Linked DNA regions of Drosophila melanogaster. The protein of the gene in region 4 purifies or fractionates together with the protein of the main gene of each other region. This does not show direct contact. Each region holds a gene or a part of one and is shown on either strand. Other genes may lie near its edges.

Region 1 (7,630 bases), 2.4 Mb from region 4:
CCTCGCCCTCGCTGCTCGAGTATGAGGTCGCTGGCACAATTAAACCCAAAGGAGCGGTGGTGGCTGCCAAGATTAATGCCAGATTATCGGGGGTAATGCAAATTGAGCTTTCGCATTGATTTCGAACCGCTTGACCCTGGCTCGATGACCAGTTGCTTGGCCAAGAGCACTCACCGTTCTCAGTGGCCGAGTCTTCCTCGTCGTCCACCAGCTCACCCTTGCCTATTACTTGACCTTCTAGCGGCACCTTAAGGCCACCTGCCTGGACGTTGTTACAACTGCCCATGGCAACTCCACTGGTTGAGGAACTAGTGGAGGCCGTGGCCGGTGGACCGTTGTAGATTCCATTTATTGGGTGGGCCATGTTTTTGGCAATCTGCAGGCTGACAATCGAGTGCTTAATGTGATCCAGCATGGCCTGAAATGAGAACTACGTATTAGCCAACGGGAGTGGTGAAAAAAGTGGTTTGGCTTTGCCAAAGTTTGCAGACGAAGTGAGCAGCTGCCATGGGTGGACAGCTGCCGGTCGATTGACATTCTCTCAGGCTTTTGCATCTGGCCGCCTCTTAACCCTGAACTTGCATTGGAAATCGATATGAGTGGGTGGCCCAGTGGGCCTGGATATACGATTCCAACCAAAAACTTCACTGGGAAAACAAAAACACACAATCCCGTATCCGAATTCTCTAAATTCCCAGCATTTCAAGGAAATCGAATTACATTTAAGGTTTAAAGGCTACAATTAGAGCTAATCCGCAATGGAGTTTCTGGACCCAAAGATCCACAGCGCCGACAAGTTGTGCGACCAATTCGAAGAGTATAAAAAGAAGCGTGAGGAAGCGCACTTGGAGCTGAAGAACAAGGTGAACACCATGTTCAATTTGAAAGCGGATATCAAGGAGCTCAACGAAAATATGGAAACACTTCGCATTGGAATGCAACAGCTGGATGACCAGCAGAAGGTTCAGCTGCATCAGGGAAAGCTAATGTCTCAGTCGATGTTCGGTACCATTGAGGCTGCTCCTCCAGATGAAGGACAAGTCCCTTTGAAGGACGAAGATACCATACCCAACAAGCTCTTGATAAAGTCCGAGGTAAAAAAATGTCTCTTTGAGGGCTGCCAAAGGCGAATAGACAGCCAGTTGCTTTTGCTGCACTACCTATGTGATCATGAGAACAAGGAAGCTTCCTTTCAGCGCTTTCTTCCCGTAGTGAAACATGAACGGGCTGTGCTTTCTTTTAAGCCGACGAGCTGTAAGAATCCTGATAATCAGGTGTTGGGACTCCTGGCTTACAATGCACAACAGTTATTGATATCCCAGCGGCAATGTGAGCCCTATAACAGCTTCCCGCTGAACCAACACTCGCACCTGGATAGTCACATCCCGTTGGTGGTGCTAATTTCCCAGACATTGCCCAATACGGCTCTGCGGAATAGGCGTTCACCAGATAGCCACAGAAACAGTGAGTTCGTCCTCTGGCTGGTTACACCCAGCGACGGACTGCAGTTGAACGTTACGCTCAGTCTCTATGGAAGAGATGTTGCACTAAGAACCAGCTGTGTTTTAGGTGTTCGAAAGGTTAATAATAACCGGGACGCGGACTATTACATGGCAGTCGACGAAAGTTACTGGCGTCTGACGTACGCCGAAGTGGAGAAACTCTCAAACAACTTTCGTGACGAACTCCACCTGGAGGTTGTAGTTACTGAGTCCGAGGGAAACGTGTAACCTCTGCTTACTTACATTTGCGTTGTCCTGGAGTGCCTTGCACTTAGACTGCTCCGCCGGATCGGTCAGCTCCGCGATGCGTTTGTCCAGTAACTGGGCAGGACAGAGAACAAGAAAAAATGACAATAAATTGCATAATGCCTGCATTACGTGGCACAATACTCACGTTCGTTTGCTCAATCATCAGCTGGAGGTAGGCATCTGCCTCGGAAACACGGCGCGCCACCAACTCCAGGTGGTTGGGTCTTCTGCCGCCTGTTCCGCTCCCGCCCCCTTCCTTCGTGTAGCCACCGGCGATGTAGAAAGCGCTTTGGCTGTCCCACAGACGCGACCGGTTCGCGTGGCGTCGAATGGTGTCCTCCAGGCGGCGCACCCACTGCTCCCGCTCCTCGTTGTGTCGCGCCTGCAAGCGTTTGGAAAGTTGGCAAGTTTAGTGGGCTCCTTTGCTTGTGTATGGGTATTGGAAAAAGTTTTATCGTTACATCAAGGCAACAAAGTCAAACAAAAGGTGGAACGTGAGGACCAGACAGTGGTTTCTGGGTCGATGCCCGGATACCCTTTTCCGGTAAGAGGACGAAAACTCTTGGCAAGCAAAGCGGATAGGCCATCATGCTTGCTTTATATCTTTTGGGACGAAAACGCGAATTGCAAAAAGAAACGTGCTGCCCTCTTGATCTACATAGTTTTTGCTTACGTATACCACTAGACGTCATAAAAAATCAATGCAAGTGTGGAATTTAAAATGAGTTGGTTCTTCAGTTCATAAAACAAACAACGTCGTACTTAAACTATTACGGTGAATTATGAACTATTAGTGAAACTGCAAAACATTGATCAAGCTTTCCTTAGACAATCTTTATTTCCATTTACTAAGGAGACACTTACCTGAAAGTGGAAGGTCTTATGGTCCACAGTGATTGTGAATGTGTTGTCCTCCTGGTCGTCGATTCCGATTAGCGCATCCTTTAAACGAACACAACCGCGCCTCACGCCCTTTATCATCTTATCCTTCGACTGTAACAGAAATGCAGTCGGAATTAGGAAAGTTCATTAAATCGCAGCTCATACTGTCAAAGGGCTATTACGCCTGCTATAAATTAATGTATTCTAATCAATGCTTGGGGAATATAAAAACAGTGTTCGGCGTGCTGTTCACGCTTAAATGTTCGCCAGCGGTCAAGGCGGTAGAGCTGCAGTCCACCAGTCCCACGCCACCTAAAGGATACAGGCCAGCGGAAGCTCAACACAAAGAAGCGAAATGGAGGCGTCAGCAAGTGAGCTCCTCTTGGATTTGTCAAAAAACTGTCTGATGGTTTCAATAAAATTGTAGGTATAAATTTGCAGCCGGTGGTGAACGTTCCTACGATTTATAAGGATCCCTGGTACATGATCACAGTGCTGGTCCTCTATCTGTACTTCGTCACCAAAGCGGGTCCGCAGTAAGTTCACATGCTAATGTCAGCGTCGCTTGTTTGCATGTGGGTCAGTGGACTTGACATTAGCAATTCAGCGGGTTCGCTGGCTTACTTATATAAGAAAGAAGACCTTTAATACCTCGCTTATAGTTTCATGGAATGGCGCAAACCTTACGAGCTCAAGCGACTTATCTTGCTACATAATTTCATCCAGGTGGTTTCCTGCATATATGCTATCAAAGAGGTGGATATTTATAAATTGTACAGCAGCAGCAGCATCGGCTAATTGCTTTTCTCTCGCAGGTCCTGTACATTACGGACAACACCATATACATCTTTTGGAAGTGCCGCGACATCGGGAGCAGCCCAGAGCTCGTGAGGCGGTACTACAACTTGGCCTACTTTCTCTTCTGGCTGAAGATCTCTGAGCTGATTGAAACCGTGATCTTTGTGCTTCGCAAGAAACAAAACCAGGTGTCCAAGCTGCACATCTTTCATCACTTCTCCACGGTAACGCTGGTCTACGCACTGATCAACTTCAACGAAAATGGTAAGCTAGCCGGCTGCTGGGTGACCGACTATTTTCATAAATGCGTTCAATTGTACAGGTTCTGCTGCTTACTTCTGCGTGTTCTTGAATTCTATCGTTCACGTTATCATGTACTCGTACTACTTTGTGGCGGCAGTGGCGGATAAGACCTTGGTGCAGGCCCTAACTCCAGTGAAGAAGTGCATCACAGTGATTCAGATGACGCAGTTCGTTCTTATCCTCACGCAGGTTGCTTTCCAGCTGGTATTGTGCGGCATGCCGCCCTTAGTGCTTCTCTACTTCACCACCGTCATTCTTGGCATGTTCTACGGCTTTTACGACTTCTATAATAGTGCCTATCAAGCCTCGCAGCGGCGCAAGAGTCAGACCCCTCAGTCAGACTCAAAAAAGTAATCTCCTGTCAACAAATCACGCAATAAAGGGGTACCAACAAGTGTGTATGTGTATCCAAATGTATCTATAGCAGATAAGATAAGGCTGCGGGCCATGAGGAGTTCGTTCTGGGTGCGATATGGGTTTCAGTCAGGAGGTGCACTGCAGCCACTCACCGTGTAATAGGACAGCAGTCCAGCATTCTCGTCCAGAACGAAGAAGCGGTACTGCCAGCCCTTCATCACATTCGTCCACTTGCTTAGCGTGCCCTCCAATGTGCCAGAGCCACCACTCCCGCTCTGGGGGGGTCCCAGGCTGGGGGCACTTCCAGTGGTGCTGGCCATTTGATCCAGCTCCCGTGACACGGCCACCGCCTCCTCCTCCGCCTTTGATCCCTCTGCGTCCTCGTGGCTAAAGGCTTTCCTTGTCCCCGGGCGCGGACCTGCCTCGTTCCCTGAGCTCTTTTCTGTCCAGGAGCTGATGATGACGCAATGTTGCTTCACAACTCGCACCCGCAATCTGTCACAGCCTCAACTCCGCTTGGAATTTGCAAAACAAAGCAAAGCCCTGCCAACTATCGATGTACGTAAACATCGATGATTTTCTAGCCCTCCGAATCGCAGCTCGAGTGTGACCGTGCGGCGACCGCTGGAATATACCACCTACTATACCTAGCACACCTTACAAATTTGGAGTCATTTGGAAAATCATAACATGTAAAATTAGCTAGCTATGAAATTATAACCCTGTTTAAATCAGCACAATAAATAAATAAACAATAAACAATAAAGCACAAAAGTATTAACTGGCTTGTAAAATTTTAAGTAAGTTCGAGTTCTCGTAGTGAAAATATTTAGTCGTTCGCTATCGATAAATATTGTCATTTTGCAGCACAGTCACACTGTGATATTCAGCCTAGTTTATTTCGCGGTATTGAAATGTGATGTTTATGATAAACAACAAATAACGTTACTTGCATAGAACAAGTCGTAAGGTTACTGTGAATCTTTTACATCTTAACATTAAATATTGTTTGATTTCAGGAGCAACATGTATCCAGTGTCCTTTGCGGCATTTCAAAAGTTAATCGTTAATTTGTCTGAAATTGCAAGTGAGTTGAAAACTGCCAATGGAGACAATAGAACGTTGGTCGAGTGGAGCAGATGGTACTACAAAGAGTTCTACCGGAATCCCAGCATACGGGCAAGGTTCCCTGTCAAGGTGGCGCCGTGTCCCAGGCGGACACGCGACAACTTGCTTAAAGTACCGGAGCCAGGAGGAATTTCACAAAACGATGTTGCAAACGTAGCAGCTGCAGGACCATCTCAAGTAGAGCAACCCGAAGTCTTAGTTGAAGGCAGCCAGTTGACGACGCTCGCTGAAACCGCGAAGTCCCATGATGCAGTTGAAGGCGTTGCAGTTGAATGTAAACCATCAGGATCGGAATCTCCAGACGTAATTGTTAATGTGGAGAGGTGGGTAATATTATTTTCGAGCAGAGCAGATTAACCAATTTTGACTCATTTCAGATGTGGCGCCTTCATCTTTCCGGTATCCTTTGATGTATTCCTACAGTGCATCAATAAGATGTTACTGTTCAAAAAAATTGTCAGGAGCATAGAACACTGCCTGGTCCTCTTGTCCGACGATGAGCGTCGTCTTCTTACACTACAAAGGTTCTACAACCGCTTTTACATGTATCCAGAAAAGCGATCCCCTACGAATATCTTCAATGCAACTACAGAAATCCCTTTGGAAAAGTTGCTTGAATCTGGGAAACCACTGGACAAAAAAGCGGTCAAGACTGTGGCGGAGCTTACTGCAATGAAATCCCTTACGAAAAAGTAAGTTTGGGACACTTTCCAAATACTCGTTGTTTACTATAAATATTTCACAGTTCCATCGTCAGCTTCGAGGTATTTAAGAAAAATATGGCAAACTTATCGGACATTGTGGAGCAAATGAGGCAACTGGATGCTAATTATGCGAGCAAGGATGTCCAGGAATGTGCCCTTGACTATTACCTGGCGTTTTACATTACTCCGAGGATCCGATATAAATACGCATACAAATTAAAACCTTGCACGTCGACTTTCAAGGCCTGCATGCTGTCCATTCTCGGCAAAGATATTGCCGAAAAGCTTAGGAAAAGCCTCCCTCAGTTAGCTAATCCCTCGCCAGGACTTGATTCGCGCAGGCCCAACACTTCATATATTACTGAGAGCAAAGGGTCATTAGGGTCGCAGAATACCAGTGGCTCTTCACAAATCCAAACCAGTCCCAGCATGGAGGTTGCCCACGAACCGAGTGAAGGTCTGTCCCAGTTAGCTACTCTTTCGCCAGAGAATTGTGCTGCGGGAGCTATTAGCACGACTGAAGGGCTATCGAGTTCACATAATACTTTAGAAACTTTCGAAAACCAAGCTAATCTCAGGAACGATGCCAACAAACTAAGCAGATGTATGCCGGCATTAGCTTCGCCAGAACGCCATCTGCACAGTTCGAAAGCCCCTGAGAAGTCATCTGAAGTCTTAAGTCCCCAAGTTAAACCCCATCAGAGCAAGGAGGTTGCCGAAGAACAATCAGATAGAGCGCCCCAGTTAGAGATTCCTCCGTCAGGTTTCGAAGTGCCCATGTCCAAGACACCAGAGAGTCCTGCTTCAAAAACCAGAGCTTCGGACGAGACCCCAGCCAAACCTGAAGAGATCACAGATTCTACCGATGTATATGAGTAAGTTAGCGTAACCTGAATTGTTTTCATAATTTTAAAACCACAATTTTAGGACTTCCTTTGTGACGGATGTTGAAGTGGACCTTAAAAAGTAAGAAAAATATAAATTACCATTTTTTTAAATTTTTAAGTAACAATTTTCAAAAAAAATTTTTTAGACATGGGCGCTTTATTTTTCCCGTATCACTTGAAACTTTTCGGCAATATATTAACTATGACGAGATTATCCGAGCAATTCTAGTAAATAATCACATTAAAGACGAACATCAACTGTCAAAATTAATTTCTGATCCTTCGCACCCACAATGCAAAAAATTTTTCCGCCAGTTTTACAATAAATTTTATGCACGCAATGATGTTCGTCAAAGATTCAAGTACAAATTCAATTGCCCCAATCCTAAGATGCTGGCTAAGCTAAAACAAAAAGCTAAGCCACTTGATGAAAAGGCTCTTTTTACAATGAATCGAACAGATAATGCAAAAGCAGTAAACGAATCCAAGTCCCAGGTACCTTTCACTCCTAAAACAACAACAGAAAATTGTCCACCAAATCCCATTTCTTTAGAGATGTTCAAACGTCATGTGAGCAATCTCGATGATATTGTTAATGAGATGCAAAAATGCGATGAGTACAAAGAAAAAAGCAAGGAGGAGGTAATTCAGGACTACTACGAGGGCTTCTATTCTGGACCAGACATGAGGGAGAAGTTCGAGTGCCGATTTAAACCGTGTCCCAGCAAAAAAATAAGACAATTGTTAAGTTTTCCACCGAAAAACAAGGAGCTACCCCCAAAGAATCCAAATTGCCAGGTGGCTTGTACCACAGAAAACC
Region 2 (6,812 bases), about 14 Mb from region 4:
CTACTACTACCTTCCCCCCAAAACAACAACAACTCCACTTATAAAACTGCAACAGCAACGCCGCTGTCCACGCCAGCGAGTTCGCCCTGTGGAACTAAATACCACACCTACTCCTCCATCTTCTTTGCCAACTTCCGGGAGCAGCAGCAGCAGGCGATGGAGGAGCGCGATCGTGAGCGGGAAAGGGAGCGGGATCGCCAGCGGCAGCTGAGCCTTCGCGTTGGCAATCGCCTTCGGGAGACGGCCATCAATTGCACCAGCAGCAACTCCAACACCACCGCCGGCCAGGGGGACAATAATAATGCGGATGGTCGCAGCGTCGACGGGGACGACCAGGATCTGGAGAACGGAAACGGATGTGCCGGCGGCAACGGAACAGGAACCGGTAATGGCAACCGAGCCTACGTGACCACGGACACATCGGGCACGCTTTACTACGGCACCCAGAGCAACAAGATACGCATCACAGAGAACCCACTGCCCGAGCCGGTCAGCTCTTAGATTGTTACTGCAGAGTCCACATAATCTCCAAAAGACACCTTGTTATTGTTGTTACCACACACTGAGAAAAAATAATGCAGCAGCAGCAGCCAAGTCAAGCCAAGCTTTCAGCCGTGCTCCAAGAGACACAAAGCCACAGAAACTCAAAGAATAAAAAATATTATGAAATACAAGCAACTCACACACCGCTAGGAAATGAATGCGAATGCAATAATTAACCACCAAATGAGAACCCATTGATTGATTGATTGATTGATTGGTTGATTGATTGATTGTGTTTCCCTATGGTTTTCGAGATGCGGAGAGATATTTGTAATTTACACTTTGTGCCTGAGCGTAACGTAACGAACATACACGTATATATATCAAGCCAGATCGGTTCAGATCAGCAACAGCAGTTTAGTTTTCTATGCCCAATTGATTACATTGTTTTTTTTTTTGGAGTGCAACACATATTTTATGACGAGCTTGCTTAGTTGTTGTAAACCGAACAATATACAAAATATATACATATGTGTATACAGATGACACAAGCAGAACAAAAACTAAAAACTAACGAGCATTTTCGCTTAATGTTAAAACCTAAAACGAATCCAACTGTTAACTTAATCCCAAAAAATAACAATGTAGCATATCAAATAAAAAACGAAAAATCTCTCAAAATTACGTATATACTTATACAAAACCCTAGATAAATCGTAGACAATTGCGAATTGCGAGTAACTTCAAACCAACATTCTGTTCACAATGAATGAGGAATAAATTCTAGACACAGGACACTGTCACAAAAACAGGATACACACACACACACGATATTGAATATAGAATACATACATATAATATATATAAATAATGACAACTTTTTGCAATAACTTCGAATTCAATTCAATAAAAGTTTTAGAAGCTTGAGTTCTATGTTTCCATTACTTCGGTTGCAGCATTTCGCTGATCCTGCGCAGGGTCTCCTCTCGATCTCGATGCATCAGTTCCGATACTTGTTCCAAAAATTGATGCTGCTGCTCGCGTTGCTGCCGCAAGAAGCTTTCGTTGGTAGTTTTGATCTGCGCAAGCAGCTGCTTTTGACCTTCTATGATTGCAGTGAGTGCTTCAATCGGCGTTGGTTCAGCCTCCATCTCGATGGCGTCCACGTAGTCCTCGCTATCGGCTGCCGCTCTTAGGAGATCGCAGGTGGAGCTGGAGTTGTCGCTGTCACTTTCCAGCGGAACGCTTGGTTTGCCTGGCGGCTTGAGAAAGGAAGGCTTGCTGATGCGAATGAGCCTGCTGATGGCACTTTCTCTGTTCTCCCGCGGCGCCTGAATCAGTTCATCGAAAAGCTCAAAGTGGCGAGGCAGAATGCGTACATTATCTAGCCCGTGCTCCTTGGCCTCTCGATGACGCTTGCAGAGCAGCCTTAGTTTATTGCGCAGCTGGTGTGGCGTGCGTTTGATGTCCTGCTTAGCCAGGATGTTGGAAATGTGCACCAGGGTCTGGAAGTTGCGCTTCCTTGAGCCATCCAAGGCGCGAAAGAAACCATTGTCCCGAATGATGAGTAGAAACGAATCAACCTCTTCGTCTGTCCAAAAGTGCGCTAAGGAACATAGGAATTTAATTAAATATGGAATAGGAACTAGCTATTATAATATCTACCTCCGCTTCTCTGTGATGCATCACCCTCTTCCTCGTCACTGTCATTGAAATCACTATCGCTTGCGCTGCTCAGATGGGCTTCCGCTTCAGCATCTGCGGCCGCCTCCTCTTCGGTGGGATCCAGGACCAGTCGCATCGCCTCAAAATGCTCGAACGTTTTCCCCGTGCCGTTCTTGACCTTGTTGTACAATCGCCGCAGCTGCTGGAACTTGATGCGCAGCTTCTCAGCACCCTTGTGGCAGTTGCGTTTTGCCATCTCCTTGGACAGCAGCTTGAAGACCTTGGCATTGCGCTTTTGCAGCAAAGCTGCTCGCAGTCCAAGTGTGTGGATCAGGTCTAGGAGGAGGTCCACTTCGCCCTCTGCCCACTTGCAGCGGGCGACGATGTTAACTGAAGATCCTGAGGCATCCAAAGCATCTGCGAAGGAAAGTCGCCTAAGTTCGTATTCCAATACATTCCTGCCCGGTGGCACCTACCGTCCCCTTCGGTTTCTGAGATCATGCCGGACTGGTCCTCGTCGGCCTCCATATCGCTGTCACTCTCTAGCGCCTCTTCATCCAGATCAGATACATCTTCTCCCTGCATCAACTCGTGCACCGCCTCAAAGTGCTCGAATGGTTCGCCGCCATTCCGAGCTCTCGCATACTGACGCCGCATCTGATGGAACTTGACTCTCAGATGCTTTGGACTCTTGGGGCAGTTCCGCCGGGCCATTTCTCTGGACACCATACGAAACACCTTTGCATTGCTTCGCGGCCTTCGAAGAGCAGCTTGCAGTTTAAGTTGGTGAATGATTTCCAGAAAGGTCTCCACCTTTGCGCTGGTCCACTTGCAGCGACTCGCTTTCCCAGAACTATTTTCCGACACCGAGTGACTCGCATTTCCCAGATCTGTTACGAAAAGTAAGGATTTGGTAACATCGAACCGGCTGAGGACGCTGCTTACCCACTCATAAGGTGTGCGTATTTCTGCTCCGTTTCGTGCTCGTCCTCATCGTTGCCATTGAAGAGCGAGAACTTGCTCATTTTCAAATGGTTATGCTTAAATCGCGCAATGAAATCAATAAATATATATTTATATTTGATCGGTTTTTTTTTAGCTTGATCAAATCATAACAATAACAAAACTGTCATCGATAGTAGGACGCGTTAAGCTACCTATCGTTATCGGCATCGATGCGGCCGTACCATACATTCTGCTCGAATGTATGTTTCATGTAAGGAATATGTATGTTAAATGTAGAAATAGCCTACAATCTGAAAAAAAAAACCAAAACCAACAAGAAACTATGATATTGATAGCCAAAATATATACGCTAAAACATTATATTGTTATTAAGCAACATATTTTGATCTCATTCAAAGTCGTCTGAATGGTTTTGAATAACATCCAATATCCAGTCCGTAAAGTGTGTGACATTGGTGTAAATTCCCAAGCCACTGCACAACCGAAGTCCTTGGCTAGCGACACCGAACTGGAAGACCCTTCCCTGCCCCTCAAATGTACGAATTGCGCTCAAAGGACCTCCCGAATCGCCTTTGCACGAATCACTGATATAACTGCCGGCACATATATAGGATATATCGAGAGGTCTTCCAGGTCTTTCACAACTCCATTGAGGTAATTGTTGCAGGGTGGCAGTCTGTAGCCTATCTTGCTCTTCTCCATCACTATTTGTACCCCATCCGGTGAAATTGAAGCGTAATATTGAGAGTGGGTTCCCACCCAACGTTTTGCCCAGAATCAAGCAGATTGGTCTGACATAGTCTATGGCGAACTTTAGTTAGTTACATATTTAGTTCCCAAGAAACTTTTGATAGCGAAATGCACTTACTTGAGAATATCACACTCCTTTGCATTCGCAACAGACCAATATCATATCCTGGATTACTATGAACAATTTTCCTATCCACGTCCACATTGTAGGCCCTTGGTGTGCAGACAAAATCATCGCAGTCGAATATGGGATGTCGGGTATCGTATTCGCCCAGGCGCACATTCCTTAAAAAAGGTCATTTTGAGGATCAAATGTGTAGTAATAGTATGGTATGCACTCACATATACATTGGGGAAATGCAATGCTCGGCGGTCAAAACAAATCCTAAATGAACATACAATGATAATTTGAGTATATATTTCTTATTATCAATTCCAAATACTTACGAGCAGTTATAAGTGAACCGCCACACACTGCTTTTCCCGAAATCATTACTCTGACCATCCAGGGATTCGATTCCATGCCAGCATCTCTACCTCCATCGATTCGCGCTCTATAACCATTACTGCTCGTGGTTCCACAGTCGTTTTCCAGTAAGCGTCCGGATTCCGTCCGGATAATCCCAATAAAAAGACAGGCTACTATCACAAGCTGCCGTATAGGTAGACGCATCTTGTTCAGAGACTAAATTCGAATGGCATCGGTTTCTATTTTTATGCTTGTTCTTCGGCAAACGGCAGAGATAAGAAGTGATTTATTCAGAAAAAATACTAATACAATTTTTACAATCGATTTGAATGTGACATCGTTTATTTTCAATTAATGACAAGATTTTTTTTTTTTAATTAAATCTCTTGAACTTTAATATATTTCGAACTTCGATGCGTTGCCCTGCCATTTTGTCGAATATTAATTAATTTTCATATACAATTCTGTTATACATTAGTTCTATATTCCTTATTATGTCTGTTATGTTACAAGTTTGGCCTACGAGCTTGGATAACCAAAAGGTAGTATGACCTGTAGGTTTGAATTGAACCATTTTATTAAATATCCATTCCCTGTGGTACGATACATTGGTGTAAACACCTGCCACATTAGCCGCGCACCTTTCGGATCCGTAGCTGACCAAGCCGTACTGGAAACTCAGAAGCCTGTTGCCATAATGAAATTTCGAGCTCAATGGGCCTCCAGAATCGCCCTTACAGGTGTTACTGGTATGACTGCCAGCACATATCTGCGATCGATCAGCCTGTTTGTTGAACTTAATGTTACAGTATGATATATCCATGTTATATAGAGTGGCATTCAGTAGGATCCGACTGAATTGACCATATTCTGTTTCACCCCAGCCGGTAACCGTAAACATTGGAATGCTTTGCATTTGCTCGCCGACAAGAAGGCAAATTGGCCTAACATAATCTATAACGAAAAACATAAAGCTTTAGTCATCCACGTGAGATAAAACCCCTCTATTTACCTGAGTACTCCACAGCTTCGGACATACGAAGCAATGCTATATCATTCTGGAGAGTGATGCCATTATAATTTTCGTGAACAATTTTCATATCCACACTAATGTTGTAGAACTTTGGTATACAGTGATTGTTAAGGCAGTATGGCATGGGATCTAGTGTTTCGTAATCACCCAAGCGCACATACAGATCTTCAAAGGATACGCAGTGCGCTGCTGTCAGGACGAATTCTTAAAAGAAAAATAAATAAATAATAAAAAAATAATAAAATAGTCGACTATCTCGATTATTTATTCATATGCTTTTCAGTTTTTGGGTACATGTAAGTTAAGATATATATATCGTGGACTATGAACTATATTATAAATCTAAATAAATATAAATATATTAATATATTAGTATAGAGTAAATAAAGAATAACCAATGTTTTAGTCAAATACATACGCCGTGCAATAAGAGAGCCGCCGCAGGGCTTACTCGACCAAACCAACACCATCCAAGGATTTTCTTGAATATTTGTTTTGGCTCCTCCAAAAATGTTCGGAACGTATGGATCGTCCTTTGATATTCCACAATTCTCAACCAGCAGGCGCGACATTACGTTATTGTTGGCAATAAATAGGCATACGAGTGCCGCGATTACCGCATTGATCACTTCCATGGTTGCGCGAAGACTGATCGGTGATAGCATATCAACTATTTTCCGTTTGGTGCTAAAAAGTTTAAGCTGTTCGCTTTTTAACAAAAAATTAAATTAACATAATAGAATATATTAATAATATATATATATTTAACAAAACTCTGGCCGGAAGGGCAATTAGCTTTTGAGTTAGGTTAAAAACTAAAATATGTTCATACAATAAATACTAAGTTTGACTTTTTATGATATCGTTAAAAATTATCGGCAATATCGATAGAGTGTTAATTCGTTCCGCAACAAATGGTGTACCAAGTGGGTAAGTGTCATTTTTACCAACGTCAAAAATTGCAATAAGATTTGTAGTTTTTCTGAAATGTCAAAAATGTTAAAGGAGAAAAAATGGTAGTTTCTGGGGCATGCCAACTCGGGCTTTAGCTGCAAAGTAATTGGCAACTTGATTTCCATCGGTGACTGCAACCACAGCATACTGCAACTTGTTGCGAGCGAGAGAGAGAGAGCGAAGTTCGATTCGAACATCGAGCGAAACGGGCAAATCGGTTAAACGGTTCGGCCGAAGCTATATAAGCAACCCGCAATAGCCACTCTGTAAATTTGAAGATAAATTTCAAGCCGGGCTGCCCGTGTTTCAGTTTCCCAACGAAAACATCAACAAATAACATCATAGAAAACTGCGCTTGCGTATTCGGTAAATCGCCGGGCAAATTAACATCGGGTATATTACGAAAAAATATAAATATTATGATATTTTCATATCATTATCAAGTGCAATTGTAATCGTAATCGTAATTGTTTATATTGTACACAATAATAC
Region 3 (8,252 bases), on a different chromosome or scaffold from region 4:
AGCGACGCAGCGAAAAGTCATTGTGATACTGCTTTGGATCCGCCTCCACAATCAATTTCATGCGCTCCTTGAGATCCTTGAAGTCCTGCTCGTTAATTGGCGCCAGCTCCTCGGACGACATATTGTAGAGCACGAATCGCTTCCTGACCGGAATGCAGACTGGGATTCCGTGCTGGAGAGTCGCGGACTGGAATCGGAATGTGCTGACACTATGTGAAATGCAAGCAGCGCTGTTTATTTTTACTCGGAAATGTTTTTTCACAAACGGAACGGATTTGTTTTTTTCTTTTTTTTCGACCAGTGTGACCGGCTGAAACTCTCTAAAAGCTGTCATTTGCGTTCCACAACAATACTAAATGCAAGCACGAAATACCGAAAAATTACCGTTATTGGTTGGAACCGTTACATTTTAATAAAAGCTTTAATTGATAATAAATTTTGAAAAATATTTTAAACTATATAGTAAAGAGAAGAAAACAAATTGAAACAGAGCTGAAATTAGTTAACATTTTTATTTTTTATTTCAAGCTCAAAGATGTTATATTCTTAACTTCCTACTTTAAAATATGGAATTGTAAATGATTTAGCTCTGTTACTTACACTGTTACTTTCTAAGATTTTTGAATTCATGAAGATTTATTTGTATTCATCTTTAAACATTTTGAATATATATCTCATTTCGTTACACAGTTTAAAAAAAAAAAGAACAAAATAAATAAGACTTTCATCGCTATTTTGAACAGCCGAGATAAAAATAAATTCACGTGCACTTCATATGGCACACGTTTTATAAACAAACATGTTAGATATTTCGGAAATAGCTGTTATTGTGTTTAAAATGTTAACAATACATGATTGGTTGGCAGAAGCAGGCCACAAAAACACGAAATATGTAGAATGCACAACTCTCTCATATCGGCCACCTGGGACCCTAAGTATTAGCTACAAATGCAGAGATTCCAAAATTGAGATTTCTATTGCTTGATGGTCTTCAGTAAGCTCCTCCTACTTGGGCACCATGACGCGGGCTATGCCCGGCAGGACCTCAGCTTGGAGGGGCCCGAACTCGACGCGCTCGCCGTCGACCGTGATGATGCCGTGATTGTCGTAGGGCTCCAGGCGGAATGCTCGCACTGGCAGCACCTTCACATGGTCGTCGTGCGACTCCGGCAGGTGAGTGCCGGAGCTCATGTTGTAGAGGAAGCTCAGCAGGTGCGGGCGGCTGATGCCGGCGCGTATGAGGATCAGGTAGATGGTGCCGTCGTTCAGCTGGGCCTTGGGCGCAAAATGACAGTCGATGCCCAGATGGGTCTGGTAAACGGCGTGCATCATGACGAACTCGCCCTCCTCCACCAGCCAACCCTGATCCTCGGACAGCGGTTCGTTCAGATCCGGCAGCTCGCTTGCCGGACCGTAGTTCTGCTGCCGGTTTTCCAGCGAGGCGGCCGCCAGGCCGGCGAACTCGCTCTCATCCGCCAGACTGTGGTAGATGCTCTCCGATATGGAATAGTAAAAGCTGCGCCGCGATCCCCCCGACAACCAGCTGTCGCACCTCGAGCGGAACGACTGATTGATGGACGTCTCCAGGGAGATCACGTCCGCAAACTCCTGTGGCAGGTACTCGGCACTGGAATGATAGATGGGCGCCGGCCCATTTAGCATGTCGATGTGCGTGTTGCAGCTACGGCTGCTCTGCATTCTCCGCTGGGCAGCATAACCGGTAGCGCTATGGGTTGAGGACACCTCATGGTCCGTCAGAAGATAGCTGATTCGGCCGTTGTAGGTGCGCAGATTCACCAGACGGTAGAGGGTCCACACGGTGAAGCGCTGGTAGCCCAACATGCGAATGCGCTCGCTCTCGATGTCCACGTCCGAGATCAGACCCCAGCCGATGGACAGGAAGGAGTAGAGGGAGCGACTCTGCAGCTGCACCCGGACCACGTCCATGGGTGAACTGCGTCCACTGATTACGGTCAGAGCAGCTCCTAGCACTGGCTTGCTGAAGTATGGTTCGCTGGGGAGAAAGGTTTCAAGTGAATAGGTTTCAACACAAGACTGATAATCGGATTACGACCAATAGATCGGATATGAGACACCTGAATGTGGTTTTAAAGTCTATAAACATTCTTTTCTATTACCCTTTTTATACTCTTTTATCGGGAAGTTGAGCTATAGATGAACATAAAGAAAGAACATAAAGATTTCAAAGTTCGATGATATGCCACTAAATGTTGAACGAAATTGGGGGGCAATTACTTAACGATGTGGAAAGTTTGTTCTAGTCTGACGTCAATTTAACTTTAAGGGGATATCCCCACTTGCAAAACAACAAAACCATTTGACACGATAAGAAAACTACTTTTGCTTATGAATGTAATCTAATGATAAACTGCATGGCTAGACGCTGGAGGGATTGTTTTACACGAAATATGAAGATCCACATAAGTCAAAAGGGGGTTTTTCCTAATGAAACATGAAACAAAGATAACATACTTGTAACAATGGGCAATGGAGCGGGCCAATCCATTTCCGGAGCCGCAAGGAATGATTCCCAGTGCCAGATGAGGCAGGACGTGGGCCCAGTCCTGGCGCTGCAGCAGTCCATTGACTATCTCGTGGAAGAGACCGTCTCCGCCGACAGCCACCACGCAGCACCAGGCGTCCAGGCACCTGGTGCTCAAGAACTCGATGGCAAAGTTGGAATGCTTGGTTACATACAGGTCGTAGGGCACCTCGGCCTCGTTGAGCACCGGCGTCACGTGCATGTTGAAGACCTCACGAGCGTCACCGGAACCGGATTTGGGATTCAACAGCACAAGCACTCGACGGCGTCGCTCATCCACCGTCGGCGCCACAAAGATCTCCTCCAGCGTGCGATGCAACTGCCAGCGAAGGGATCTGTACCAACGATCCGCCTCCCTCATGTTGTCCTCGAAGGTGTCGAACGACCGGAAGCGCAGAGTGAGCACCGTTCGCTCCCGGTGCAACTCCGACCGCAGGCTCCTCTTCTTCAGAACATAGGCAAAAACGTAGAGAAACGCGCTGACATCGCCGCCATCCGAAGGAATATTATCCCGACTATTGGTGCTGCATTTGCTTGGTGTGGTGGCAGGGCGATGGTGATCGCCGGACGCCGAGATGGCTGGCGAATTGGGATTACCGGAGCTGCACGCACAGGCGCCCGACATCGCCAGGCGCCGGCTCTTCTTGGGCCGCATGCAGCGGGCACCCACAATGTCCGATATGCGGACATGTTGCTCCTTAACAATGCTACCGCCCGGCGACTCCCGCTGCAGGGTGAATCCTGTGGCGTCAAGGCGCACCCGAAATACGTGGCTGCCCTTCTTGCGCTGGCTCGTGTAGAAGGTATCGCTCACGTCGTGGCCCTCATCCGCATCCTGCGTTCCCGGGGGCGTGGCCCTGGAACTGGCCGAGCTCGGGCTGGTGGTCTTATCAAGAGATTCGCTCATTTCGACTGGAGATTCGGCTGCCAAGCAGCATGTTTCAGGTCTTTTGTGTCCAGGCTTTTATGGATCGCTTATCATCCAATCATAGCCGCAGTGTTACCGTCGGTGGCAGGCGCGAATATACCAACTGGCACAAATAAACTCAAAATTCTTAGAACTTAAAGAGGCTAGCTTAAGGAAACTATTGCAATACAATGCAATAATACAAATGAATCCACAAAAACGTCAGCTCATAACAAATTTAACTTGTCACTGCATTGAGTGCTGAAAGCTTTTTGTTGATATTTTTCTGTGTTCGAATAAATACCAAAATATATGACAGAATATTTCGTACGGTGCATTTGCGTTGCATTTTTCGGCGTTCGCAACGCGGTCACCCTGCATTTAGTGTTTTGTGAACTGTTAAAGAATCCGATACGAATTTAATTGCTGGGAATAACAATGATGCAGATGAGCGAGTACAAGGTGCTCCCGCAGAATGCACCGCAGGACGAGAATGGCGCAGTGGTCCTGCAGCCGCAGGCGGCGAATGTTGGCAACAATGCCAACGGACCTGGTGCGTAGCGATGGACATATATGGATTTGTCCACTGTTGAATTCCATCACTCGGATGGACCTAGTCGGTTGCGCGCGTCTGTGTGGGCTAGTGGGCGTGTGCGAAAGGCGGAAATGCCGTCGTCTCTTTCTTGGCATTTAGTACAGCAGCGGGCATGGCAATAGCACCCATAGTTATCTATGTAAAAAAGATATTTTATAATGTACCAAAAAGTGAAGTGATTCCAAGTCAATACGTAAATACATATTGTTTAAAATATTAGTTTATGTTAAGAACTGCTATCACTGGCCCTAATCGCCTGACCGCCATTGTAGCTATGCTAATTTCCTTTACCCATGCATAGATATCGGAAAAGCACTTTATGCATATAGATAAATATAAATACATAGGGAGCTAATCCGGAACAACGCCCCATTGCAGAAAACTGGATGTCGATACCCGTGGGCATGCCCAACTGCCCGCAGGGACTGGAATACCTGACCGCTCTGGACCAGTTGCTCGTGTCGCAGAAGATCGAGAAACTGGAGCTGCTCACCGGCTTCGAGACGAAGAACCGCTTCAAGGTGAAGAACTCACTGGGCCAGAATGTGTACTTCGCGTACGAGGAGAGCGACTGCTGCACCCGCAACATGCTCGGCCGGTCGCGCCCCTTCGAGATGAAGATACTGGACAATTTTCAGAACGAGGTGCTCCACCTGTACCGGCCCTTCAAGTGCGACATCCTCTGCTGCTTTCCCAGCTGCATGAACGCCGTGGAGGTGTCGGCGCCACCCGGCCAGGTGATCGGTAGCGTTGAGCAGGTCTGCACCTTCATGCGGCCCAAGTTCAACATCAAGAACACATGCGGCGATACCGTCCTGCAGATCGAGGGACCCGTCTGTCCCTGCAAGTGCTTCAGCGATACCAACTTCAAGGTCAGTACGCAGCCAACAAGTGGTTATTCTTGGCTCTCGATCTCGATTCCCAATGCCCAAACAAGTGTATACACACACAGCAGCGGTCAGCGGATTAGCTTTAAATTCTTCGGAGGAGTACATATGTATGGTCTTCATCAGTCAAAGACGAAGCTTTATAAAATTCCAAAATGAACAGTATCAGGCGTCCACTTAATTGCTTTTTTAATTATTAAACATTTATAAGTGCCTATATACATATATTCTAAATAATTATGAACAGACAGAAGCGTTCAAATTAATAGCACCCACACTAGTTTTAAATTTTCAATTGTATACGTTATTTAACAGATGCCTCTAGATATAGGAAAATCAATCAATCAATTTATACTTTTTATGGCTAAAATGCACCAAGTGTTTGTGCCGATCTATGAGCCCTTTTACTGACCGCTGCTGTGATCGTACAGAAGCAAAGAGACTGCAGTCCGAGGCAGTGACGTCATGGTTAGCCATGCCTGACTGTCCAGAGCGAGTCAATTAATTGCGATGCCGCGAACTGCGAACCGATTAATGCGAAACGCAAACATCTCTCGCCCCTTTAACCGCGCACAGGTATTGAGCGCCAACAACGAGGAGATCGGCAAAATCAGCAAACAATGGTCCGGACTGGGAAGGGAGCTGTTCACCGATGCGGACTACTTCAGCGTCACCTTCCCCCTGAATCTGGATGTCCGCATGAAGGCGCTCATATTCGCAGCGCTCTTTTTGATTGTGAGTATATCAGTATATCATATATATCACTGAGTGAAATAAAGCATATGCCAGTGCTATATACTCGTTTCCCTTCATTGATTTGTGTTTGTCTTAATTCCAGGACGCGGTTTACTACGAGCAGTAGGCTGTATGATGAATCGCATTCTAAAGGAACAAACGCCCAAACATTATAATCGCCGACTGCTTTTTGGTTCGACGTGTTGCATGGTCATAGCTCTAAGAACTTTTTAACCCCTTATTTGATTAACGTTTCCGGGAATCTGAACAGTGCAACGCTTTGATCGATACGGAATCTCCGCAGCAAAGGAATCTCCCGCACAACTTGGATCTGAACCGCAGTTGCACCTTCGTTATTTTATGAACCTCGGTTTTGGCATTTAAAGCTCACCACAATGAAGCACTTACTGACAAACGCACAAAACGGAAAACAGAAAGCAGACTACACACGAAGAATCCGACGAGAACGAGTGCCTTATGACGTCCTAGTTATTGTCGTCGCCCCCGTCCCGTTTCCCCAGATTTATATACCTCGACAGACCTAGCTTTGTTGTACGCATAGGTCGGAGCACAGGATAACTTAATTGCAACCATGGCGTACCTAACTAATTTACTATTACCTTTTACCTACTACATATTACATATTACATATATTTTTGTATGAAACTAATTGCAATCGAATTGTTACCCATTAGAGTGGCCTAGTGAGCCAGCTTTCAAGGCATTTTGAGATCGAAAACATCTCCTCCTTTTTGGTACCGCTCCTGTGGCGCCGCGCAATTTTCATCACCTTCACATGTACTTCATGAATTTATTTATATCTCAGTTATGCTGTAAAATAAACAAACTATGTTTTGTACAAAGCAAATGCGAAATATTCACAATCGGTGGCATTGCGGATTTGGATTTTCTGTACAGAGGACTCTAGCGATTGTTCGTTTGCATCGTGATTCAGTCGTGAACATTAGGAATGTAACTGGGCTAGGCTACTAAGGTAATGTGCATCTCTATCTGTCCCTAGTTGTTCTTGGCAAAGTACTTCGTCTTCTCCTCAGGATTGGGAACGATCTGTAAAGGTAATGGTATCAAAAAGAATTTACCTAAGGCAATGCTTCAAAAAACCTACCGTATCGGCACCTGGCCGCCAACCTGCTGGGCAAACCTCTCCATGGGTGTCCGTATACTGGAAGGCCTGAACCAGACGAATAGTCTCGTCCACAGAGCGTCCCACGGGCAAATCATTCATGGTGATCTGTCGCAGCACTCCGGTCTGATCGATAATGAAGAGACCGCGCAGCGCATGACCGCTGGACTCCAAGTAGACTCCGTAGTCCTTGCTGATCTTATGCGTTAGATCGGAGAGCAGTGGGATCTTCACGTCGCCCAGGCCGCCCTCCTTGCGCGGCGTGTTTATCCAGGCCAAGTGGGTGAAGTGCGAGTCCACGCTGACGCCAATCACCTCGGTCTTGATCTTCTTGAACTCGGCGATGCGGTCGGAGAAGGCAATGATCTCCGTTGGGCATACAAAGGTGCTAAAATGGCAATGAGAAATGCGATCATACTAAATGTAAATGTAAACTTACAAGTCCAGTGGGTAGAAGAGTAGCACCACATATTTCCCTAGATACTGGGACAATGATAGCTTCACAATCTCCTTATTAACCACGGCGGTGCCCTCGAACTGCGGAGCTGGCTTGGAAACTGGGGAAATAAGGGTAGCAGCAACTTAATAGTGATCCCTGGTTTTTTGCATCCAATGGAACTCACTGACTGCCTTGGTGTACTGCAGCTGATGGTCGCCCTTCGGCTGGTCGGGATAAACGGAGCCGCCGGCGAAGGAATAGCACGATTCATTATCTTCCGGCTTGGCAGCTCCAACGAGTGCCGCGGACAGCAGTAGGACAGATAAGTACTTGGACATGATTGGGCTGAAACGAGATCCACGTACGTATATGGCTATTGGATTCGGTTTATACGCTATTTATTACACGCGGCCTTTACAATTATTGCCGCTCTTTATATTTATAATAAATCTGTGTACAGTGGTCGCCCAACTATCTTTAATTTTGTAAATTATGTAAAGATATATAATTTTGAATGTTAATTAGGAACAAAACTAAACTTCAAAGAAAAGATACTCCTTCTATGTACTAAATCCTTGTTCCGTCCGTGTCAGCCAGTCTCTACTGTACGCACATACCCAAAATTCGAACACGCCCACAACTTGTAGCCACGCAGTCAAAAAAGTAACTATTTCAACGGGCAGAACTTCAATTGATTTTGGTGGAACGCGCTTATTGTTGCTGCGCTTCCGAAAAGATAAGCTTATCAATTTCATTCACTTCACTGCTATTATAATTTATAGTTGTCAGCGTGTAACCGATTTAAACAAATATAGTTTACAAAACTACTAAAATTCCAATGCCAATGCGATTGCCTAGCTCCGATTTGAATATTTATTTTTAGTTGCAGGGTAGTTAACTTGCTTGCATTAAGCAACAATGCAAACGCACAGCTGTTACCTTTTAAGCGCTATAATTAACTCTTTTTGTTTTAATAACAAAT
Region 4 (7,289 bases):
GTTTAGATTGCAGAAGTGCTTGTGCGCGGGATCGTACAGTTGGGGAAACTTGGAGTACAAATCAATGAACTGTGTGGTCAGTTGATTCTCCTCTGTGAACACCAGCTGTCGTGGGGAACGCATTAGAGTGGCTTAGAAAGCTGTTTGTCACTCGGACTCACCTTTATTTTGCCATCGCCGTCGACATCATCGCTGTCCGCATCCTCCAGACTACCGCGCTCTGCCAGAAAGCTGTACTTTCCATGGTAGTACAGTGGAACCTTGGTTAGTTTCTGAGTTTTCTTCTGCCGCGAGATCGACGCATACTGCGCGTGTAGGCTGGTGATGCACTTCTTCAGCTTATAGGCCGTTAGGTGAAGATTGACGGTCGCCTTTAATTGCTCCAGCAACTCCTCATAGGCATTTGCGCGTTTCTCCTTGTCCCTGTACGACTCATCCGCTGGATCCCAGAGGCATGTCTGCTGCTTATACAGTTCAATGAACTGTGTGATCCGAGGACTGCGTCGGTAAAACGTAGGATTGAACTGCCGGGATGCAAAACGTCTGCTTTAATTTGTTGGTTTTTGTTGCTGGTGTAGTCAGTTGCTTACTTTGGTTAAAGGAGCAAAGTGTGTGGAGTTTCTGGTGCCCAATTCGCAGTCAACTGTCATCGAGGAGGAGTCCACCTCGTCGTCTTCTTCCTCCTCCTCCTCCACCGGGCTGGTGCTCTCGTCGTTCTCTGATGAAGGTGGCACGTCAACGAACATGTCTTCAGCCAGGCAATTTTCCGGAGGCTCCTCCACTATGAACACCTTGGCTGGCGAGACCTCCTCCTCGCATTTGGCTGACGAAATGACTTCGGAAGTAGTGAGCTCTTGCTGCATGCTTGGATTTGCTTCCAGGTGCTCCTTGACGTGCACGATGAACTCTCGCCACCGCTTGAACTCCATCTCCACGTAGCAGTCATTTTGGTGAGCACACGCCAGAACAAAGTGCTCGAAGTTGTTCCTGGCCAAAATGTTCCCGCAAACCACCATGATTTGCTTACAAACAAATAAGATACAATGCCAAATAGCACAACAACAACGCCATTTATCGGTATCGATAAGCACCGGATGGTCAGTGTTGGGAAGATACCCGCGGAAATTCCATTGAAACGAAATCATCTCAATTTTAGAAAATATTTTATATGTAGACAAATAATTATATATACTATACAGCTTAAATTTAAATCTTGCTATAACATGAGTATTAGTTGTGTTAAATCAACTTTTAAATCAATTATAAATTTTTAAATATATTTTAAACTATTTCATTTTAAGCTGGAATAAAAACACTACTTTTAGTTGACTGATTCTGGTACTTATTCCCATTCGGAACAAGAGTCGAATTCCCCGACAATCAAATACTCCTTACTTAGCCAGTGGAAATACAAGTAGTTCATACGGACAGACGGACAGGGACAGACCGACTCGGCTATTGGTCCTTATCGAGAATATATATACTTAATATTGTCGGAAACGTTTCCTTCTGCATGTTACACACCTTTCATCGAATATATTGTAGTATACACTTTTTTTAAAGACACTAGAATATTAAGGTGCGTAACGGCCATTACATTGGTTTTCAACTATGCAGTTACTTTTTTGGTGACGGCCAAAATTGATCTCACTCCGCACGCGTAAAATGGAGAGCGTAAATTTCTTAAAATAGAATGTACTTCCTTGTGTGTGTTAAAACAACAAACGAGAAAGTGTATATGAGCATACTTGTGCTAGAAAACTTTCGTCTCGAAATCAATTTTGATCTCAGAAACGAAGGTACATACATACATATTTAAAGTTTTGGTCAAAGCTTGTTGCAATACGATCTACTACAGAGTTATTTAAAATTTAATGCCTTGACTATTCTTTTAAGAAGAGTTGTTATTAATTAAATACCGCTTATTTATTTTTGCTTATAATTAAAAATATTTAAAATTGCACTGACGACATACTTCAACAAGGGTCTATGAGCAGTATCTTGTACCGTATAAAAATTATTTTCATCATTATTTAAGCTAATAAACTAAATAAAGTCTTAAATCGTTATTATAACTATTGTAATTAAAAATATAAATTTGGCAAAAAGGAAAATACATTTAAAAAAATATATTTCATAAAAGAAATATAAATACATTGTTAAAAATGAATATATATAAAATTTTGTACACGTCATTTGATCAAAAATAATAATAATAGAGCTGCTAGCTCTAGAGCTCTCCGCTCTCTGACTTTTGAACAAAAACTCGGGAGAGCCTCAAGCCAGCTCTAGATCTAGAGCCAGAACCAAAAAATCATATGTTATTCTAATATCTCCTCTACAAGTAACGGTTATACAAATTTATCTTAAAACGAACTTATTTTTCCGGCTTCTTCTTTTTTTTATGAATAATACATTCCTTAAACCAAATTTTGAAAAGGAAAGTATGAAAAAGGAAAAGCTTGTGCATATGATTATCATACACATGTTCTTATCAAATACACAAAAGCCGTAAGTGCTTAACAACACGCTTGTTATTATCACTACTCTAACGTAAGTTTATTCTTGATTTACATCAAATGAAGCTTACTGATTCTCGTTATCAAAAAATAAAGCAGTTTCTAAAAATGTCCCTCAAGGCGAGAGTTCATTCCGATCTGTGGCTGCGGCGATGTCTGGAAAGCGAAGAATGGTCATAGAACGTAGCATCACAGTACTCGCACTTCTTATCACGGATATTCAGATGTCCTTTGATATGGTTGGCCAGCTCGAACTTCTTGCGGAAGGTTTTGGTGCACATATTGCAGCTGTAGGGTCTAATGTTCAGGTGAACTCCGTTGACGTGGTGGTCCAGGAGTAGCTTGAGCCGGAATGTCTTGCCGCAGATGTCACAGACGTGAGGCCGCTCGCCCGTGTGGATTAGTGTGTGCACCTTTAGGTCGGTATCCACGGCGAACGATTTTTCGCAGTACTGGCACTTCAACTTGCGTTCGAAGTGGGAACGCAGCTTGTGACGGTCCATGTCTACGTGGCGGTCGAAGCGCCTCGGGCAGAACGAGCAGAGGTACGGTAGGTCGCCCACCTCGTGCGCCTTGACGATGTGCACCCGTAGGTTGTAGTCGCCGTGGAAACGTTTATCGCAGTAGTCACAGTACAGCACCTGACTTTCGGAACCCTTGGCGGGCAAGAAGCTGCACATTTGCAGATACTGAACCTCTTGCTTGCTGCACTTCTGAATTAGTTCCTTGGATTTGAGGCGACGAATGGCATCGTAAAGCCAACGGCGCAGCTTGTTGACCGCAATGTAAACGTCCGTTTCGTTGGCCTTCACCACTGGCTGGAATTCCTTTGCCATTCTTTTGAAGGCATCTGCACGTATCTCTATTGAGCCAAAGTCTGGCAACGCTTGATTATACAGCACGGGATAGTTGGCATAGGTCTCTATGAATGAGGTGGTTATCAGGTTTTCCTCCTTAAAATTAAGCTGAAAAAAGGATTTTTGGTCAGAAAAGAGCTACATTATAGTGGGCTAGTTATTACCTTAATTGCAGTCAAGTCGTTGTCCTCCTCGTTCTCCCTTGGCGTTACAACAGGCGCCACACTGAGGAACTCGCACTTGGCAAAGTAACGCGCTGCAAGTCCAACAAGCTTTCCCCTTTGTTTTGTCTCCAAAGCCAGCGTGTACTGCACGTGCAGTTGCTCGAGCGTTTTCTTCAGTTCTTCCACGGTGAAGAGAACATTGGCCTTGCGGTCCATGCGTTCCATTATCGCCTCGTAGGCCATGCTTCGTGCAGGCTCGTCCTGGTAGTGTTCATCGGAAGGGTTCCACAGGCAGGGATGCTCTTTGTACGCTTGGATCAAATGCAGCACACGGGGATTGCTCCGAATAAACGAAACTTTGAACTGAATGACGCCGTTAAGTGGAATGAATTTCAGCTTAAGTGAAATATACTACGTACTAACCTTGAAAACCTGTCCTGGTCTTGTTCGCCTGGGCGGACGTCCAGGTTTTCTAGGAGGTGCCAAGTCATCCTCAGACATAAAGAAGTCACTACAATCAACATCATCATCGTCTGTGTTTAGGGGTATGTGATTTTGGGAAGACTCGTCCATTTGTGTGACTTCCTTTCCGGCTGGAAGTTCCAAAGAGCTGCCGCCTGGACCGAACTCCCAGGAATTGTTTGTAGCTGCAGACCAAGCGGTGGCGTCTTCCTCGTACTGGATATCCTGCGGTCAACGAGAGCTCACTTATTTGACCACCCTTGGTAAGCGAGTGAAAGAGTCTTACCTTGCTATCAGCTTCCATCCATTGATCGACCCCATTGCTGTTTTCGATCACCTCGAAGAACTCATCCGGCCCATAGGCGATGGCTGGGTCCGCCGCGTCAACGACGCTGTATAGCTCCTCGGTATCCTCTTTGATTTCATTAATCCTAACGTCCTCGTCTTCGCAGTAGTGCGCCGATTTCACATGGACGATGAACAGCTCCCAATCCTTCAGCTCGCTCTCTATGCTGCAGTAGAGGCATTTCAGCCGGAACATCTCGTACTTGGAGTTGGTCATCACATTGCCGCACAGCTCCATGCTTACGTTGTGCGCTCTGATCTGACTTCAGCTTGAAAAATGTTCCTTTTCTGAAAATATATTCGTTTATTTAAGGTAACAATTTTTTTATGCGTTTGGGACTGTGTTGGACAACGACTGAAATAATTATGTATCGATAGACTATTCGATAAAAATCTATTTTTAAAATAATATTTAAACACAATTTTATGAAGGCTTAAAAGAAAACGTTTTAACAACTGTTGGTGGTGCTTAAAAATGATTAAAAATCTGCATTTCATGAATGAATCTTTAAAGTAACTAGTACATTTCAATTTTCGAAAAAAAATGTTATAAAATTCTAGTACTAACCATTTGGAAAAATCAAAATCAATCAAGCTTATTTGTTGAGAAATTATATTTTTTTTGTCATATCGATAGAAAATAGCGAGACAAATATGAACAGGAAAACACCAAAACGTTTTTCAAATGTATGGGCGTTACAGTTGTCGGCGCCTTGTGGGCGTGCCAACATTTTGGAAAAAATAGCGCAGCGTAGGCAGGGGAATGTGTTTAGGCTTTTAGATGTACATCCCCAGATTTCGACAGATGGACATGGCCAGATAATGTAGAATTTATATTCTTAATTATTAATATACATTCTTAAACCGTTATATAAATAAATTTGTTTAAACATATTGTTTCACTCTCATTTGTGTATTTTTATTTCCCCCCATTTGCAAAAGATTGCCTATTTATAAACTGTCATTTTATTGCAAATTTAATCAAATTCAGTTCTCTGCATCCACAGCATCTTTACCCTTTTGTGAATTATTACGAAGAATGTTGTGGGTGCGCTTCATGTGCGTATTAAGACCCACAAACTGGGAGAACCTGGAGTCGCAGAGTTTGCACACAAACTTCTTCACCTCGGAGTGAATCTGCCGGTGTCGGATGAGTGCATGGCAGCTGGTGAATCCCTTACCGCACACACTGCAGATTTTGTCGCGGATGTTTAAATGGCCCTTGATGTGATCCGATAAGTCGACCTTTTTCACAAAGTCTTTGGGACACATGGTGCACTTGAAGGCTCTGATCTTCGTGTGAATAGCCGTGACGTGGAGCGTCATTTGGGACCGCAGTCGGAAGGCCTTGCCGCAATGCTCGCAGACGTAAGGCTTGTGGCCAGTGTGCGTACGGATGTGCAGCTGCAGGTCCGACATCACAGCGAATGAACGCTCACAATGGGTGCACTTGTGGGTCTTGCCGATATGGACCCGCTGTATGTGATTAGCCAGCTCGCAACGTCCCACAAAACTTCGGTCGCACAAGGTGCATTTGAAGGGCAGCTCGCCGATGTTGTGCGCCTTGAAGATGTGCGACTGCAGGACATGATCCGAGGACGTAATCTGGTGGCAAAATTCGCAGACCAGCCGCTGCTTGTACATCTTTGCAGGCATGAACCGACACACCTCTAGGTAGAACTTCTCGGCTGTACTTCCGGCATAAATGGCATGCTTAGTGTTCTTGTAGTACCATTGGCGGAGATTCTGGATGGCGCGGAATATGTCATCGCTGTTGATGTCCACATTGGGCACTGAGATTTCCGCAGCCATGCTCTCGTATGCCTGTTTTCGAGAGCTCATATTGGAGAACTCCTTGTGGTTGGAGTCGTATAGCTGCGGAAAGTTTGCGTACATCTCTATCAGGTCGGTAGTCAGCTTGTTTTTCTTGGAGAAATCAAGCTGCGGGCAAAGTATGCTTGTTAACAATTTCAATTTGAATTAATTCAAATATCTTGCCTTAATTTTTTCGTTATTCGTAGCCCCTTCTTCATCGTTGCTAGCGTTCAAGAAGCAACACAATTTGTATATACTGAAAGCCAGCGATTGAGGTTTCTGTTTTCCAGACACCACCCGCTTGTGCACGGTGTTGAACTGCATGTGGACTTTCTTGATGGCCAGCTTTAAGGCCATCTCGTTCAGGAATACGGATACAGTTGCCTCCAAGTCAATGGCCATACGCTTCAGGGCTTCTTTGCATTTCTTGGGTTCCTTGTAGTCGCTGTGAGCGGGATTCCAAAGGCACGGGTGTTCCTTGTAGATCTCTATGAACTTTATGGTTCGGTGATCTCGGCGAAAGAAGGATGGATGAAACTGAAGTTGAATGCTGAGATTAGTTTAGCGCGTTCATGAATGGCTTCTAGAAGTACCTTGTATGTGGGTGTGGTTTTTAAATTGGCATCATCAAGAGCTGGTTCACTTGGATCCTCGTCCTGGACGGATTCTTCTTCATCTGTAACCAAAGATACGTCCGACTCCTCAGTCTCGTTTGTCGACGAACGCACTGCGTCAATATGCAGCTGTACACAGGCTCCGTCCGCCGATTCGTCTTGCTGGAATATCGACTCTTCCGCTTGGGGTTTCTCCTCTGGAGGATCTACGTGCCCAGACTCCGTAGAATTTTCCCCCACTGGCTCGAAGTCGTCTTCCATGCTCCTTACTTTGCTATGCACGTTGCGGATGTGCAGCACAAACTCCTGCCACTGGGCCACCTCCACGTCCGTTGGACAGTAGGAGCAGCGCATCAGGAACTTCTCGTAGTCCCTGCTCACACAAATAAGGCCGCAAGTTTCCATTTTAAGTTAGAAATAACAATCAAAAGCGTTTGTTTATACATATCCGACTATGAGAGACCATGGGCGCATTCACAAATGGGCAAAAGGGTTCGACAGACGATATTAAAT

The links.
Region 1: the proteins of CG1603 (region 4) and CG1513 purify together in Drosophila melanogaster (affinity purification with mass spectrometry, with the first as the bait; one large-scale study listed by BioGRID). This does not show direct contact.
Region 2: the proteins of CG1603 (region 4) and CG10494 purify together in Drosophila melanogaster (affinity purification with mass spectrometry, with the first as the bait; one large-scale study listed by BioGRID). This does not show direct contact.
Region 3: the proteins of CG1603 (region 4) and Sk2 purify together in Drosophila melanogaster (affinity purification with mass spectrometry, with the first as the bait; one large-scale study listed by BioGRID). This does not show direct contact.

The regions. Positions count from the first base shown.
Region 1 is NT_033778.4:9,886,992-9,894,621, forward strand, and holds the start of CG1513 (uncharacterized protein), read right to left. Parts: upstream 4,699-7,630; 5' UTR 4,412-4,698; coding exon 4,244-4,411; intron 4,151-4,243; exon of another isoform or gene 4,089-4,150; coding exon of another isoform or gene 3,754-4,088; intron 3,696-3,753; coding exon of another isoform or gene 3,449-3,695; intron 3,390-3,448; coding exon of another isoform or gene 3,296-3,389; intron 3,170-3,295; coding exon of another isoform or gene 3,061-3,169; intron 3,005-3,060; coding exon of another isoform or gene 2,989-3,004; exon of another isoform or gene 2,887-2,988; intron 2,745-2,886; coding exon 2,616-2,744; intron 2,495-2,615; exon of another isoform or gene 2,134-2,494; coding exon 1,897-2,133; exon of another isoform or gene 1,824-1,896; coding exon 1,746-1,823; exon of another isoform or gene 1,731-1,745; coding exon of another isoform or gene 759-1,730; exon of another isoform or gene 657-758; intron 419-656; coding exon 175-418; intron 64-174; coding exon 1-63. Other genes in the region: CG12923 (uncharacterized protein), read left to right, coding at 759-1,730; CG30008 (uncharacterized protein), read left to right, coding at 2,989-3,004, 3,061-3,169, 3,296-3,389, 3,449-3,695, 3,754-4,088; tea (telomere ends associated), read left to right, coding at 5,118-5,542, 5,597-5,911, 5,965-6,798, 6,851-6,889, 6,957-7,630.
Region 2 is NT_033778.4:21,515,833-21,522,644, forward strand, and holds CG10494 (uncharacterized protein), read right to left. Parts: upstream 3,294-6,812; 5' UTR 3,174-3,293; coding exon 3,098-3,173; exon of another isoform or gene 3,094-3,097; intron 3,039-3,093; coding exon 2,625-3,038; intron 2,566-2,624; coding exon 2,149-2,565; intron 2,090-2,148; coding exon 1,425-2,089; 3' UTR 1,323-1,424; downstream 1-1,322. Other genes in the region: MESK2 (misexpression suppressor of KSR 2), read left to right, coding at 56-501; CG30288 (uncharacterized protein), read right to left, coding at 3,503-3,915, 3,983-4,149, 4,207-4,249, 4,312-4,537; CG30289 (uncharacterized protein), read right to left, coding at 4,779-5,287, 5,346-5,570, 5,785-6,001.
Region 3 is NT_037436.4:3,042,408-3,050,659, reverse strand, and holds Sk2 (sphingosine kinase 2), read right to left. Parts: upstream 3,574-8,252; 5' UTR 3,471-3,573; coding exon 2,494-3,470; intron 2,015-2,493; coding exon 1,006-2,014; 3' UTR 501-1,005; downstream 1-500. Other genes in the region: CG32485 (uncharacterized protein), read right to left, coding at 1-121; scramb2 (scramblase 2), read left to right, coding at 3,909-4,023, 4,444-4,937, 5,529-5,687, 5,791-5,814; Prx4 (peroxiredoxin 4), read right to left, coding at 6,705-6,755, 6,814-7,219, 7,271-7,388, 7,455-7,608.
Region 4 is NT_033778.4:7,511,680-7,518,968, forward strand, and holds CG1603 (uncharacterized protein), read right to left. Parts: upstream 4,712-7,289; 5' UTR 4,586-4,711; coding exon 4,289-4,585; intron 4,228-4,288; coding exon 3,964-4,227; intron 3,904-3,963; coding exon 3,541-3,903; intron 3,485-3,540; coding exon 2,648-3,484; 3' UTR 2,167-2,647; downstream 1-2,166. Other genes in the region: az2, read right to left, coding at 1-105, 162-524, 591-1,016; CG1602 (uncharacterized protein), read right to left, coding at 5,335-6,288, 6,346-6,699, 6,756-7,181. UniProt on the Drosophila melanogaster protein: Chromatin-binding protein involved in the organization of active promoters and insulators. Essential for the activity of heterochromatin promoters; primarily binds to specific motifs within promoters of housekeeping genes.